4 linked regions of the Saccharomyces cerevisiae S288C genome follow. The gene in region 1 interacts genetically with each later gene. Each region holds a gene or a part of one and is shown on either strand. Other genes may lie near its edges. The genes, in order: YMR155W, YPS3, RDS1 and PAU7.

Region 1 (4,162 bases):
ATAAAATTTTGCTATTTTTAAAGGCAATCAAAAACGATGAGAGAGGAGAAACGTTATCACACAGGTTATGGCTATATGCAGCACCTAAAAGGCCGAAAACTTTTGCAGCAAATCATAGTAAGATCACATTCGCAAGCTTAGGTGAAAGTTATAACAATGATCCTAACATATTCGAAAAAGTTCGAAAACCAATGACAGGAATGGTAGAGTTTTTTAAAAGGGACCTGGAAAGTGCATACAGGGTTTCAGAACAAATTTCTCCCATCAAGTTGAATTGGATATATTATTGCGGTGACGCTGCTGGGAGGAAAAAGGACTTCAGTGATTCTGACATAAAGTTTGCTGAAAACTTGCACGTTGAATTCAAGTACCCTGAGGAAATATTTCACGGGTAGTCCGTTGTAAAATGTTGAATATATACCAGTATATAGTAATATTTCTTAAAATGTTCATTTGTGATGGTGAAAAAGAATATGAAAGCAATGTCAGGATGACACCGTCTACAGGGAATTTGCAGTTGCTCTTCTTCGATAGTACGTATATCCAATTATCCCCAAAACGAACAAAAGATTAAAAGCGGCACAATATTTCGTAACCATAAAAGTATAGCTGTAGCAAAGCACTCCCTTTTTACAGTTCCCATCATCATCTCCTGTATTTGCCTTGAAATCTCTACCTAATATATCGGTAAAAACACTCACTGAAAATACACCACCAGTCGTTAAAACACCCCACAGCGTACTATACCCATTTGTGCCAAATCTATCTGCTACTATGGAGGGGAAAGTACCAAATAGAACGCCAAAAGAATAACCGAAGATCGCTGAGCATACCGAAATATTCTTGAATGATTTGGAGGCTCTTAAAGAAGGATCTTCAATGCTGCTGAAGTCATGGGATATTTTATTCGATGCAAGAAATACCAAAAGCGATGCTATGACAATATTCCATAGTCTTTGAGCTTTGAATTTCTTGACCAAAAAATCTGATATAGGCCCAGATGATAATCTGCCGCAAAATGAAAGAAGAGACAGGAGAGTTACTTGTAATGATTGAATTTTTTCTGCATTAATTGGTAATTGATTTAAGGGTGGAGTAGAAACCTGGGCTTGTACCATAAACCCCACAGAATATATGTACATTAAACCCACGCCTTGTAGTATACCCAATACTATGTAGTAACCAATAAATGTTGAAGATTTTAAGCTTTGGAATACATGTAATCTCATACTTTTCTGTGCGCTATTCTCGCCCACTGTATTTTTGCTGGTATTCTCATCCTCGAAATCATACTTTGTGTGTGGGGAAGAAGGTGATAACAATGGTCGATTTGATAACTGTCTATCCTCAAGTGCAAAAAATTCTGACGTTTCCTGAAAATTGTCTGACAATGCATAAGTTTCATAGGTAGCAGGGGATGATGAACGCACAGGTGAACCTATATAGTCATTACTGTTCTCATATAACGGTACTATATTATCGTCTGTTTCCCTGCTTTTTTGAAGCTCCCATTCCTTAATGCTAGCATCATCTCCTTCTGCATTAGAGAATATATCTAATGAGAAATAGCCTACTAAAATCATGCAACCACACGCAACCATCAAGAAAATGAAGACATGCTCGATGTTCTCACCAAAAAGCTTTGAGCAAAGATATGAGAACACCATGCCCGATAAACCGTATAGGGACACAGGAAATGCCCCAGCTGTACCCCTGTGTTGAGGAAAATTTGTATTTGCACATTTCACAGAAGCGTAAAAACCTGAGACAGAACCATATCCAATGAGTACCAAACTTAACGATATGAGAAAAGTACTAGACCATTCGTGCTTATAGCATAAATTCAAAATCAAATACGCGATGAAAACACACATTGAACCAATTAGACAGGACAGTTTAGGACTTCGATCGACAACTATTCCTGCTAAAATTCCCATCAGTGAGCTTCCTATTGTTAAAGAGAAGGATAGCTTACTTGAGGCAGAAACAGGTATGTGGCACTTGCTCAGTAGCTGAGGAGCATAAAATGAGAAAAGATAAGGTGTTCCAGCACCAAGGGCAACCACGTTACCTCCCACAAAACTTTTGAGATGTCCAAAGTGATTTGTATTACCCATTTTACTATTTTGGTGTTTCTTTACCATGGCACTCTGTGAAACATTGGTTGCTGTTTATCGAGTATCTTTGAACCGCGCAGGATTTATTTACCTTATCTCCAGATCTTCGATATCGACCAAATGTAAATATATTTCTGTAGGAAATAGAGGAACAACATAAACTTGAGGAGAAGTGGTTTTTCATGGCTCAAGTTATGCTCTGAAATTTTAAAGAAAACATATATACTTCTTCTTTCTTGTATTCTTGCGGATATTTATCCCTTTTTGATTTTATGATACTACAGTTAAATGTTCTTTTAGTCGGCATAAACGGACCACAATAATCAACTCTAGACAACTTATTAAACGGTTACTCGACCATTTCAGTCGAAGACAAGAACCTTGTGGTATCAAAAATGAATGATTGGCATGAGTTCAATGCCGCGATAAAGTCAATATATTGTAATGCAGAAGGTGACTCAAGCAGTATAATTAATAGATTGGTTGGCTTGGCAATGAAAAGCGAAGATTCCACTTTTATTGAGGCCGTTTTAGTTTTGAAAGAAAATGTGTCGAAAGTAGATAAACAATTAAGATTTTTATGGCTTACTTCAACTATTAATTCAAGGTTTTATCCCCCTATACCTATCTCAGAAGCCTCACCGGTTTCTTGGAATAAAACCGAATATTGCGCACCTGGTACTGAAGAACTACAAAGGCGTTATCCAGGGAGAGCCAAGTTACAGAATGAAGAAGACTATTCAGGCGGAATAGAACAATGCCGAGATGTGCCAGATTGCTCATTAGTTGCTTCTCTAATTAATCTTAGGTCTAAGAACTTGAATCTCCCTCTAATTAAACAAATATCATCAACTAAATATCACGTCAATTTAAGTTTTAACGGAAGCAACAAAAGGCTAGTGACAGTAGATATTTCGCAGATCCCAACCTCAGTGGATGGCAAACAACTTTCTTTAAAGAGTAACGATATTTCGGACAAAATTGGAGAGCTTGCATTACTGCTTGTTTCTAAAGGAACATATTCCACGGATGGCTCAAATATTAGTATAGATACTTACCGCTTAAGTGGCTTCTTACCAGAGATAACACAAGTAAACAGCTATCCTTTCGAAAAATTATGGAAGTTTCACAAATCTAATTTATGTCTGATGGGCGCTGGCACCGGGAATCGTTCCAATGACATGATAAAGCCCCTAGTTGAGAACCATGATTACTCTATAATTGATATCACATATGATTCTAGGCTAGTAAAATTGCGAGATCCGAGGAACTCGGCACTAAATGTTGAAATCAGCTATGAACAGTATTTAAAAAATTTCAAACAACTTTATCTTAATTGGAACCAAGAAAAATTATTCAAACGTTCTCAGGTACTTCATTTTCGGTACGATACTTCACGCTACAATAAATTTTCTATCGTTGCAGATAAACCTTTATTTCACCTGGTAAACAATTCTAAAGTGACAGAGACGGTATGGTTATTGCTAGAATCCCATTTGCAAGATGAAGGCAGCCAAGAAAATCGGTCAGTTTCCTTTTTGAATGAGGCTCCCGAATGCATAATTTGTCCAATTGAACCTCCAGTAGAATGCGGTGGCAATCACATTGGACTTCAGCTGGTAAAGTTGAGATTAGATGCTGAGACTGAGAGGTTATTGTATTGTTATTCAACAACAAACAACAATTTCAGTATTCACTCTTTCTCAGTTGTGAAGGAAATATGTTTTCAAAGATTGAAAGATACAAAAAGTCTTTTTGCCAAAGTCCTTTTCTCTTTTCCTTATGAAATAGAGGGAAAAGCCTCATTTGATACTTGTAATTTTTTTCAAAATCCGACTTTTGAGTTGGAAGTTCACTCTGAACAAGATTATCAAGTACTTATGGACGCCGCATGTATCTCAACTAGCTCACATGATTTAATTAACATCCAAGTATATTACTTTAATGACTATGAATTGATAAAGCCAATAATGTTTGATAACCACTATCAGCCCGGGCAGGGCCTTAAACAAGACGTGCCCATCTTAACTAATGTCAAATATATG
Region 2 (4,091 bases), on another chromosome or scaffold:
CAGAATCAAGAGACAAAGCTGCTGTGGTGGTGTTTTGTTAAACGTGTCTGTGAATGACTTCTTTCCGCTTGCGCACATTTTTCTACTGGCTCTCCTCACTAAATGTTAAGATTTCTGATATATGTGGACCACATTTCACCATTGTTGAAATGGACGGTATGATATGATTCGAATAAGACCTGGAATATGCACTCTAGCATACCAGGAGCTCTGGACATTGTATTCTTCTCATCTATTGTAAAACATCTCTCAATAGTAACGTATGAGTAATGATTCGGAATGGCATCTAGATTAGCAAATACTTGCTTGCTTGTTGAGGATAACCGTAAACTCGTCTGTTCTTAGTGCAAAAACCGTCCCAAAAGTAACAGACGGTAACTCATTCTACATTAACATTGGATGATATGTTGACAATAAATTCCGAGGGACAGCTCCGTTTCCTAGTGAATCTCGGTGGTTGTAATGAGGGTAAATCGCTGAGCATTTTTTTTTCTTCTCTTTACTACACCATTTAGAGTTCTCACTTTGTAAAATTCCGTCCTGATATGAGAATATATATCTCCACGAAGCAATACCAAGCACAAGAAAAACATAGCAATTTTTGCAAGGCCCGGTAACGCAAGATGTGATAACACGCTGCATCATTTTAATTAAGAGCGCGCCACTTCTCCAGATAGTGCTGTATTCATATATGTAAGTGCTCACACTTTCTGGGAACAGCGGAGTCATTAGAAGACTGGCTTCGCTGAAGTTGCTAGAACGAGCAAATTACAACATTATATTCAGCTTCAAGAAAAAACGCAGACAATGGACTCAGGATGATGAGAGGTTCCTTTGTACCACTAAGATCGACTCGTCCTAACCCTATATCCCAATCCCAAGACTAGGCGAACCAACATTAACTGGGCTCGTAATAGGGCAATGATAATGCAAAAGCGGCTCCTAAACAGAAATTCTTCAGTAGTCAAATCTCGAAATTGCCTTGCTCGTCATCAACATGAATCGTCTATATCAAAACTGCATGTTTCTCTACGTCTACACAGATGTTTGCGTCCGATTGTGCGCTTCGATTTTTTACATAATGCTGGAAGCAAAGTTTGCTCTCAGAATTCCTGCCCTTCGCCCCAGTTACACGTGGGGACAATGGCGCTCTTTCATACAGTCTTCATTCTATGGCCGCACTTTTGTGGCATTCTCTGGACCGTCCATGAAAAATTATATAACTATTTGCTTTCTATTGAAGTCTATTGAAGTTAGCGTGGATAGAACGGCGTTACATGGCACATCAGCTGAAGCTAGCGCAAGTAATTTTCAACGCATTCAAACGAAAAACTTATCTAAATACAATTGTAACATACCGGCTTGCTGTGTGTGAACCCCTTTCCCCAATTGTATATCAGAAACGTCTGAGTGGAGGGTGAGGAATCACTCACTACCTTTTCTCCATTCGACGCCTATAAGCAGCGTATTTTAAAGGAAAGGGGAATTAGTGCGGAGATGGGCCAGAAATGTACTCTTTTTTTGGCAGAGTTTTTCCGGGCGGGACAAAACAATGGCGTGGGGTGATGAAATAAGCAAAATTCAATATCCCTTATGACGGAATGGCAGAATTGGCCACCATTTTGTCTTGGCATTCAATATACATACAAATCTTCACTACCGCGATATTGTTGGTAATGGAGATTGCTTTTTGGCCTCCTGGCTTATAGGGCTCTGAGTCTCGTGGTAGTGGAATCCGGCACAGAAACGAGAATCGGATATTTGGGGCCGGGCCATGTACAGGCAAAAGAAATAGCGAAAATATCTCTTATTTTTTTCGCGCTTCCTTTGTAGTAGAAATTATTGGCGATCGGATTACTATTCGCGGAAAAGAAATTAAAAATAGCGAAGAACTTAGAACTATAAGCCTCAAAAGGAAACTTGTGTGGTCGAAGGCTGGACGCCATAATAATATATATATGTACGTATATATATTATATATGAATATCTGTAGCCGCTAACTTGTGTGTTTGTGAATTTATATAGGATAAATAGAGCAAAATTACTCGGCATTGAAAAATGAAACTTCAATTGGCGGCAGTGGCTACATTAGCAGTCTTAACTAGTCCGGCATTCGGTAGAGTACTTCCCGATGGGAAATACGTCAAGATTCCCTTCACAAAAAAAAAGAACGGCGACAATGGTGAACTCAGCAAGAGATCGAACGGCCATGAAAAATTTGTACTAGCTAACGAGCAAAGCTTTTATTCTGTTGAGCTAGCCATTGGTACACCTTCACAAAACCTCACTGTGCTGTTAGACACAGGCTCAGCTGACTTATGGGTTCCTGGCAAGGGAAACCCCTACTGCGGTTCTGTGATGGACTGTGACCAGTATGGCGTGTTCGACAAGACCAAGTCGTCCACGTTCAAAGCCAACAAGTCCTCGCCTTTTTATGCCGCTTACGGTGACGGAACCTATGCAGAAGGTGCATTTGGTCAAGATAAATTAAAGTACAACGAATTAGACCTCAGTGGTCTATCGTTTGCCGTGGCCAACGAATCTAACTCAACCTTTGGTGTGCTCGGGATCGGCCTTTCCACGCTTGAAGTCACCTATTCTGGAAAAGTCGCTATTATGGACAAGAGAAGCTACGAGTATGATAACTTTCCCCTGTTCCTAAAACATTCTGGAGCCATCGATGCAACCGCATACTCTCTTTTCCTAAATGACGAGTCACAGTCCTCCGGCAGCATCCTCTTCGGCGCTGTAGATCACAGCAAGTACGAGGGCCAACTGTACACTATCCCGTTGGTTAATCTTTATAAGTCGCAGGGTTATCAGCACCCGGTGGCGTTCGATGTCACTTTACAGGGCTTAGGACTGCAAACCGACAAGCGCAACATCACATTGACCACCACCAAGCTCCCAGCCCTACTCGATTCAGGCACAACGCTAACATATCTGCCCTCCCAGGCAGTGGCTTTGCTAGCAAAGAGCTTGAATGCCTCGTATTCCAAGACATTGGGTTATTATGAGTACACGTGTCCCTCGAGCGACAACAAAACCAGCGTGGCCTTCGACTTCGGTGGCTTCCGTATCAACGCTCCTCTATCCGACTTTACTATGCAGACCAGTGTGGGGACCTGTGTCTTGGCAATAATTCCACAAGCGGGCAACGCCACCGCTATCCTTGGTGATTCCTTCTTGAGAAACGCCTACGTGGTCTACGATTTGGATAACTACGAGATTTCCCTAGCTCAAGCCAAGTATGGCACGGGGAAAGAGAACGTCGAAGTCATCAAATCTACCGTTCCCAGTGCAATAAGGGCCCCCAGTTACAACAACACTTGGTCTAACTACGCCTCCGCCACGTCCGGTGGTAATATTTTTACCACCGTGCGCACTTTCAATGGCACCAGTACTGCCACCACTACGAGGTCAACCACCACCAAGAAGACAAACTCTACCACTACTGCAAAGTCGACTCATAAAAGCAAGAGGGCACTCCAGAGGGCTGCTACCAACTCCGCTTCCAGTATACGCTCTACCTTGGGTTTACTGCTAGTCCCCTCCTTACTCATCCTTTCCGTTTTCTTTTCGTAAAAAAAAACAATAGACACTATATATAGACACTTTTTCCTTTCCTTCTTTGCGCGATTTCAAGAGGAAAAGCATACTTAAATAAGAATATTCCTAAAACACACGTTCTGACGCGTCAATTAGATCGTCAGACCTTGCATGCAGCCAAGACACCCTCACATAGCACTGCCTCCTTCCTCCTCTTTTCTGTCACCACCTCACCTCCCTCGTCCACTCAACTGAGTGGCTTTTCGCTCCTTTTATACTGCGCCATGAGTAGTTTTCGTTTCACTGATGTGTCCGAAAAAATTGAGGTTTCATAAAAAAATTCGTGGACTTATTTATGGAGAAACAGGGAAATCCGACTACTTAAGAAAAGGGTGTCAAAGAGGATTTACTTTTTTCCTTCTTTTTGCATTTGTTCCTATTTCCGCAATTGGACGGTTATTAAGAAGAACGCAATTGGCTTTTCTGTATATTAAAATACATAGCGTAATAAAAAGATAAGGTGAACACCAAGCATATAGTAT
Region 3 (4,505 bases), on another chromosome or scaffold:
CGGCAGTTTCAGAAAGAAATCGGAGGCGTCCTAACTTGCTAGATGAGTCGGACGCGGACCCAATCATTTTAAGCACGATGGATATGCTTCTTCTAGATGATCGAAAGAGTAATTGAATTTTTTCAAGTCATCATCGAAACCAGCAAAAGATTACGATATTATCCTTCTATTTACCGCAAAGTGTGTTGTTGTTATTATATGCATATTTGAGTATCGTGATCCCTTTTTTTAATCTATTTTATGCATGTAGGACATCTCGGCCGAGCGCAATAGAGGAACGGCCGAGATACTTATTTATACGCACCGCACCTATTACATTCCGCCTGCCTAACCATGCTCATTTTTTCAAATTGACGAGCAGGTTAAAAGAAACACTGCGAAATGTGAGGAATCTTTCCGTCTTGTCGAGTCTTAAAACAGTGGAAAAAACGTGGAGGATAACAGTGTTTCTTGTTTTTGGCTTGTTTTTTTTTTTTTAGCCTTTCCAAATATCCGTATTCTCACAAAGAAGGCATATCGCTCAGATTTTCACCTAATAAATCCCAGAAGGCATCAAAATTGTTGTTTTCCAATAGTTGATTTAAAGCCTCTTCTTCGCTGATATTGAAAAATTCTTCAGCCGTGTTTTGGGACATAGCGGTATTGGCTTTTATTGCGAAGGAACTGGAGAGAACTGCATCCTCCATCTGGCACAACAGAACTTGATTGAAACTCTGCAAACTCTGGCTGCTTATTAACTTTTGTTTGATTCTTCTCGAATTATTGCAGTCCAATCCCCATTTCAATCTCACGGCTTGTTGTACTTTTGGCGGTATTTCACCATCACTGGAAATCTTATCCCAAAACCCATTTGTCACAGATACTAAGCCGCCAACATCGATCAAATACACAACGTATCTAAACATGGGAACAGTTTGGTAAGCACCAAAGTAACTATCTTGAAGTTTTCCCTTTGCTAGATCCACTAAATGTGCCATTTGGTTACGAATGTGTTTAATAAGTCTTTCTAAAATGACAATCATTTCATCTTCTTTTTCATTATCGTTAGTGGATATACTGGAAGAGGCCAATTTTTTCTGACTTTCTTGCTTGTATGAAAACCTTAACAAAATACGACATTGGAACATCCAGATCCTTACAAGCATAAAACATATTTGTTTATCTATGATATAACCGCGACTCTCTAAAATGTTCCCTTGAAACTTATTCTCGAGATAATCAGATATCAACCCTGCTAGCTTTAAGTATGCATTGAAACTTTTCAAAGTAAGGAAATGATAGTTCTTTTCATATTCTTCCCAGTGCATAACACATTTTTTTTCAAAATGTAACGATAGGACATCAAAAATGTTTAAAAAACACATACTTCCCACAATATTTGTAAGAAATATTTCAGTTTTTTGAATATCCATGACATCGAGAACCGTACTTTTGCCAACTTTGATCGCATTTGGTTCCTTTTCATGAAGGGGTTGGTAAATCGAACTTGTAGGAAAGTTCTCAGCCATAAAATCTTCAGATCTTTTAATATTTCCTAAAATGTGGAAAAGCTGCGGATGTTGTATAACTGAAGTGCAATCAGACATTAGTTTACTCAAAATGACGTGAAATTTGTACTTATTCCAAACAATATCATTCATTTGCACGTTCGATTCACTCGCAGAACTTTTTTCATACTCTGAGGAAGCTTCAATATATTCTTCGAAGTCTGTTAAATATGCCTCCATATATTCACTATTTGATTTACCAGCATCACCTTCAGCAAGAGAAATTTGAAAAAGTAATGACTGAACTCCTAACCATAATATCCGTCTCTGCCTTATCACTTCTGGATCTTTGAAACGTTTGTACTTCGAAGGCTCATATTGAAGACCTAAGGTCATGGACAAATTTAAAAGATGGTGCAGAGTAAGCAAGTTAGTGGGGCTCAGTACACAATCGGGACTCTCGGGATCTAAATGCTCTGAAACGTAGAAATATAAAAGGCAAGTAAAAGTGTTCTCATTTGGATAGCGAAATACATCCAGGAGGCATAATAGTTTATGACATAAAAGAGAAAGTTTCCTGGCACTTTCGGAGGCATTTTCTTTTACCATTGAAAGAAGATTTGCATCCAATTTTGAATGCATCAAGGCCATGGCCATTACTATTGTAAGTAATGACAAAGTTTCTATTTTTTTGCGCACATTTTTAACTTCAGTACTAATTTTCCAACGATTATTGTCGTCTTGTAAAAGCAAACTAGTGAGATCGCTCTCAAAGAGTGAAATGTCCATAAAAGGATAGAAGGGATAAATATTTTGATAGAAACACCTCAAAAGTATTTCACAGTCTTTTTTTTGCATCAACACGTCTTCCACTTCAGCGATGAGTGACGGTAGAAGAGTCGAGAAGTTTTCTTCTTCCATTGAAAATGCATTGTATAATAACCCTAAGGCGGCAGACTGAACTCGAAATTGCTTACTATGTTCTATCCGTCTAAAAATGGCCTTTTCTATGAATGACAATGGTCCTAGTATACTTCTTGATGTGTCTTCACAAGGAATACCATTAGCATAATTGCTAAAGTCAACAAGCGCCATGCCGTACAACGAAGCACAAAGTGCCCTGATATACTGGTCATGTTGCGCCAGACTATGCGCAGCAAAAGGATAATCCAGAAATGTAACTAATCCTACTATAACTAGCATATCTTCGGCGTTCCATATCGACAGCGTAGCATTAACGACACCTTCAGGCACTTGTAAGGAATATCTAAGCCCAGTCCTTTCAAGTACAGGTTGCTGTTCGAAATTGAGCTTATGAGAGGAATTGAATCCATCAGAGTCGTTTGCTGCAACATTGGCAGATAAATCTGTTCTCTCTTCATATTCACACTGTAATGAATTTTGTTGGCATCGCGAGCAAGCAGGCCGCAGTTTATCACATTTCCGTTTGATCTTTTTGCATTGCAGGCAAACCAATCTTAACCGAGGTTTTTTTACTGTAATCGAATCCATCAGAGCATTTCAGCAGCCAATTTCATGTTCATTTGTTTATCTACCGCTTACATTAATAAAGTATTAATGAGTAACATTATTAGTAATGATGTCAAAATTTCGTTCTCAATGACTTGTAATAATGAGTGTAATAGTGATCTGCACGGGTCTTGAGTAGAAAATCTACCGAATGCAAAAATGTGAAGAATACACGCTACTATGTAAATCTTTATTTTTCAACTCATTTCAAACCATTGAACCATCCTCTTAGATAGCACAGTATATTAATATAGGCATTCTTTGTAAAAATTTGCGCTCTTCTCTTTTAAAATTGAAGTGCTTTAAGAGGACCTCATCAGACATGCTCGGACTCTAGATTTCGAAGTAAAAGCATGATTAACACTCTACCTTTCGGACGAAAATTGCATTAATGTACCTACTTAATGGGTATTCAGTTTTCAGATTTAATAGTTTGGCTTCGATACATATGAGTAGGCTAAGTATTAAGTTAAATCGCAGAACAAATGTAGACGTACTCGACATGAATGGGTAAAACCCTGCACACATTTCGTATTGAATAAAACTTACTGCTCTGCACTGTTGTCGAGAGATTCTAAATTTTCATCAAAATTTCCCTTAAGTTTAAGAAATATCCTATTCAAGAAATGAATGTCCCTATATATAGGTCATGTGACTACCGAAGAATTGGTTTAAGGTATACATACAATGCAAACCACTTTTCTCTTGTTATGTAATGGGTCATGATAAATTCCGAGATTTGACATGCATTTTAAGAGATTCTGAAAAATATTACGTATATAGACTATTTATGGAATTTCTTATCATAATCGACCAAAGTAAATCTGTATTTGACGTCTCCGCTTTCCATCCTTGTAAAGGCATGGCTGACGCCTTCTTCGCTGATCGGAAGTTTTTCCACCCATATTTTGACATTCTTTTCGGAAACTAATTTCAATAGTTGTTCGATTTCCTTCCTAGATCCGATAGCACTGCTTGAGATTGATACTCCCATTAGGCCCAACGGTTTTAAAACAAGCTTTTCATTAACTTCAGGAGCAGCAATTGAAACGATGGAGCCTCCAATCTTCATAATCTTAACGATACTGTCAAAATTAACTTTCGACAAAGATGATGAGCAAACGACAAGAAGGTCCAAAGCGTTAGAGTATTGTTCTGTCCAGCCTTTATCCTCCAACATAGCAATATAGTGATCAGCACCGAGTTTCATAGAATCCTCCCGCTTGGAGTGGCCTCGCGAAAACGCATAAACCTCGGCTCCCATAGCTTTAGCCAACAGAATCCCCATATGCCCAATACCACCGATGCCAACAATACCTACCCTCTTACCTGGACCACAGCCATTTCTTAGTAGTGGAGAGAAAACTGTAATACCACCACACAATAATGGAGCGGCTAGCGGACTTGGAATATTTTCTGGTATTTGAATAGCAAAGTGTTCATGAAGCCTCACGTGGGAGGCAAAGCCTCCTTGTGAAATGTAGCCGT
Region 4 (2,747 bases), on another chromosome or scaffold:
GATCAAATTCGAAATAATCTGCGAATTTATTATGATCGACTAGGCAACGAAGACGCAGTTTTCTATTAAATCTGTGCGTTTGAGTAACTTAACTGACTATAATATCGCAATCTTAACATCATTAAACAATGTAAAAGAGGTCATACGCTATAAGAAGTTGATTTGATCCCCCGTGGATTTTGAAAAATGTCAAGATCAGCATATTGACCCATGTTTTTCCGCTCAATCCAGTCTATCAATCATTTTTCAACAAGGATAACCATAACATTCACCCACCATGCTTTGGTTCATAAGATATACGGGGAGATCAGCAACTCTTCAACTTATTGAACATGTTGAGAGCAGGATTAAATAATCAATGTCCTGTGATTGCAACATCTATCATGCCTGACGTTTCTCGAACGATACAATCTACAATTTAATGAGCCATTTTAGCATATTAACGAGGGCTGCATGAGGATCGAATGGACAAAAGTGTTTTCAGGCATGGGAGAATGGGATGCTTATAGAGGAGTTTAACCATGAAATTAAATGATTCTCCAGCAAGAAAAAAAAAACTCCTGACTCAGTTCATGTGGCGGGAAATTTCTCTCATTGTCTCCCCCTGCAGCGCTACTAATCTTAAAGGTAGTGGTGGCTTCGACATTATATCGTTGGTTCAGGTTGTCCGATCACTAATGATCTGTTACTTTATTGCTATGTTATGTGTCAAAAGGTGATATCCCCATTTTTACTGATCGCAGTAATATTTTAACCTGCCATGGTTAAATTGTTTATTGTCATTGAGTTGAGCACTTTTTCATTGCACTGTAGTTGTTGCGTATTTCAGACTTACTCTTATAGTGACGCTAACAGGAGGTCTGGCTCTTAATACAAGGACGTCGTAATATTCTGTTCACCGGACTCGAAAGCAAGAAGGAAAAAAGCACATTGTAGCCTTTTCAAAAACCTATCTTTTGGTACTAATTTATGGCGGCCCATACAGAGAGCTACCCTAAGAAATAGTTCGCATTCGTATATGAACTTCGGCTTTGAATATTGCGGATTCGTGCACAATACAAGACTTCTGTCGTTCCATGTCATCTATTGCGCGATTATTTTTTCACCAATTCCTTTCATTTCTAGTGGTTTCAAGGCGCAAGATTAATCTTAGATTTTACCTCCATCAAAAGCTCGGTAATTGGCACGTCATTTTACTATATGGCCTCAACAACATCGCTATACAGATTTGGGCGCCCTACTTAGCGAGACTTCCTACATTTGGAAATTACCCTAAAGGCATATTCTCTTCATGTAATAGCTCGCACAATGTAACCCGATTCAATTGATGCCCCAGTCGTCATTTATGTACAAGCATATCTACGCTGGCTCTGAGACTTGTGTTGTCCAAACAAGAACCCCCATCATATCTAGCGTGAGTATCAAATGGTTGGCAATAGTTTGTGTGGTCTGATTATTTACGTACAGCTCCCCTTTTTGTGTGCATATTCCTGCAGATGCGACTCTAAGAGCTCACACTTAATTTTTCATTGTTTCTAATTTGGGAAAAGTCCGATTTCCCTCCTACTAACCGTTTAGTGCCAAGGGTGAGATGGCCCTTGAACGAGGGCCCAAAATAAATTTGGCTTTGGTTCTATTTCTTGGCCAAAACTGCAGCTGCAGCCCTATAGGCACTTTTCCTGTAGAGAACATTCTTGTGCTATGGAACATATGAAAGGATGGGGCATAAAAAAACGGCTTCCTATACGAAGTATAGCATCGTTCAAGAACAACCCGTCCCCATAGTAATAATGACTTAGTCGCTAAGTGGAATGTGGAAGGCATGAGTGTGAGATGGGCGACCAGTAAGAGCCCATGTGTGCAGATGTAGTTGTTCAAAGTTTCATATAAATACAGCGGCTTGATCAGCTTTGTTTGAGACATTTCTCTGTTCTTTTCCTTCCAGTTAAGCCTATATCATCACTAAGCAATAACCCAAAAAACAACAAATACAATGGTCAAATTAACTTCAATCGCTGCCGGTGTCGCCGCCATTGCTGCTGGTGCCTCCGCCGCAGCAACCACTACATTATCTCAATCTGACGAAAGAGTTAATTTGGTTGAATTAGGTGTTTATGTTTCCGATATCAGAGCTCATTTGGCTGAATACTACTCTTTCTAAGCTGCTCACCCAACTGAAACTTATCCAGTTGAAATTGCAGAAGCTGTTTTCAACTACGGTGATTTCACCACCATGTTGACTGGTATTCCCGCCGACCAAGTTACCAGAGTTATCACTGGTGTTCCATGGTACTCCAGCAGATTAAAGCCAGCTATCTCTAGTGCTCTATCCGTAGACGGTATCTACACTATCGCAAACTAGAGTCCCTGCTTTACGAATGAAACCTGTACAGGTATGAGAGGTTACGAAAAAAAATGATAAATGAAAAAAAAAAAGCTTAATAATATGAAATTAATAGTATGAATAGTTAGGCGCATGTATATAAATATAAATTTTTGTATATATGTATTATTAATATTATAAATTTCTTATTATTAAACCATCCTTTACGGAAATAACGGCCTATTCCCTTAGTATTTTGTTGTAGCTCGTGGAGTTATCCATTTTAAATGGATCTTGGGATAATTTTTACTGCTTCCCTCGTACTGGGAGCTTAATACACGTTCGTCTTGTTATCATCATAAATATGTGTTTATTATTCTCGCCTGGAAGGAAATCTTCAGTATAAATTCGTGAGGAATTTAGA

Evidence for each region.
Region 2: mutations in YMR155W (region 1) and YPS3 together harm fitness less than expected from each alone (positive genetic interaction), as found in Saccharomyces cerevisiae (one large-scale study listed by BioGRID).
Region 3: mutations in YMR155W (region 1) and RDS1 together harm fitness more than expected from each alone (negative genetic interaction), as found in Saccharomyces cerevisiae (one large-scale study listed by BioGRID).
Region 4: mutations in YMR155W (region 1) and PAU7 together harm fitness more than expected from each alone (negative genetic interaction), as found in Saccharomyces cerevisiae (one large-scale study listed by BioGRID).

Annotation. Positions count from the first base shown.
Region 1 is NC_001145.3:566,533-570,694, reverse strand, and holds YMR155W (uncharacterized protein), read right to left. Parts: upstream 2,145-4,162; coding exon 501-2,144; downstream 1-500. Other genes in the region: TPP1 (polynucleotide 3'-phosphatase), read left to right, coding at 1-395; RIM13 (Rim13p), read left to right, coding at 2,513-4,162.
Region 2 is NC_001144.5:388,238-392,328, reverse strand, and holds YPS3 (aspartyl protease), read left to right. Parts: upstream 1-2,058; coding exon 2,059-3,585; downstream 3,586-4,091. Other genes in the region: YLR122C (uncharacterized protein), read left to right, coding at 998-1,375. UniProt on the Saccharomyces cerevisiae protein: Cleaves proteins C-terminally to mono- and paired-basic residues. Required for cell wall integrity.
Region 3 is NC_001135.5:309,452-313,956, reverse strand, and holds RDS1 (Rds1p), read right to left. Parts: upstream 3,000-4,505; coding exon 501-2,999; downstream 1-500. Other genes in the region: AAD3 (putative aryl-alcohol dehydrogenase), read right to left, coding at 1-67; ADH7 (NADP-dependent alcohol dehydrogenase), read right to left, coding at 3,802-4,505. UniProt on the Saccharomyces cerevisiae protein: Zinc cluster transcription factor involved in resistance to cycloheximide.
Region 4 is NC_001133.9:176,270-179,016, reverse strand, and holds PAU7 (seripauperin PAU7), read left to right. Parts: upstream 1-1,993; coding exon 1,994-2,161; downstream 2,162-2,747.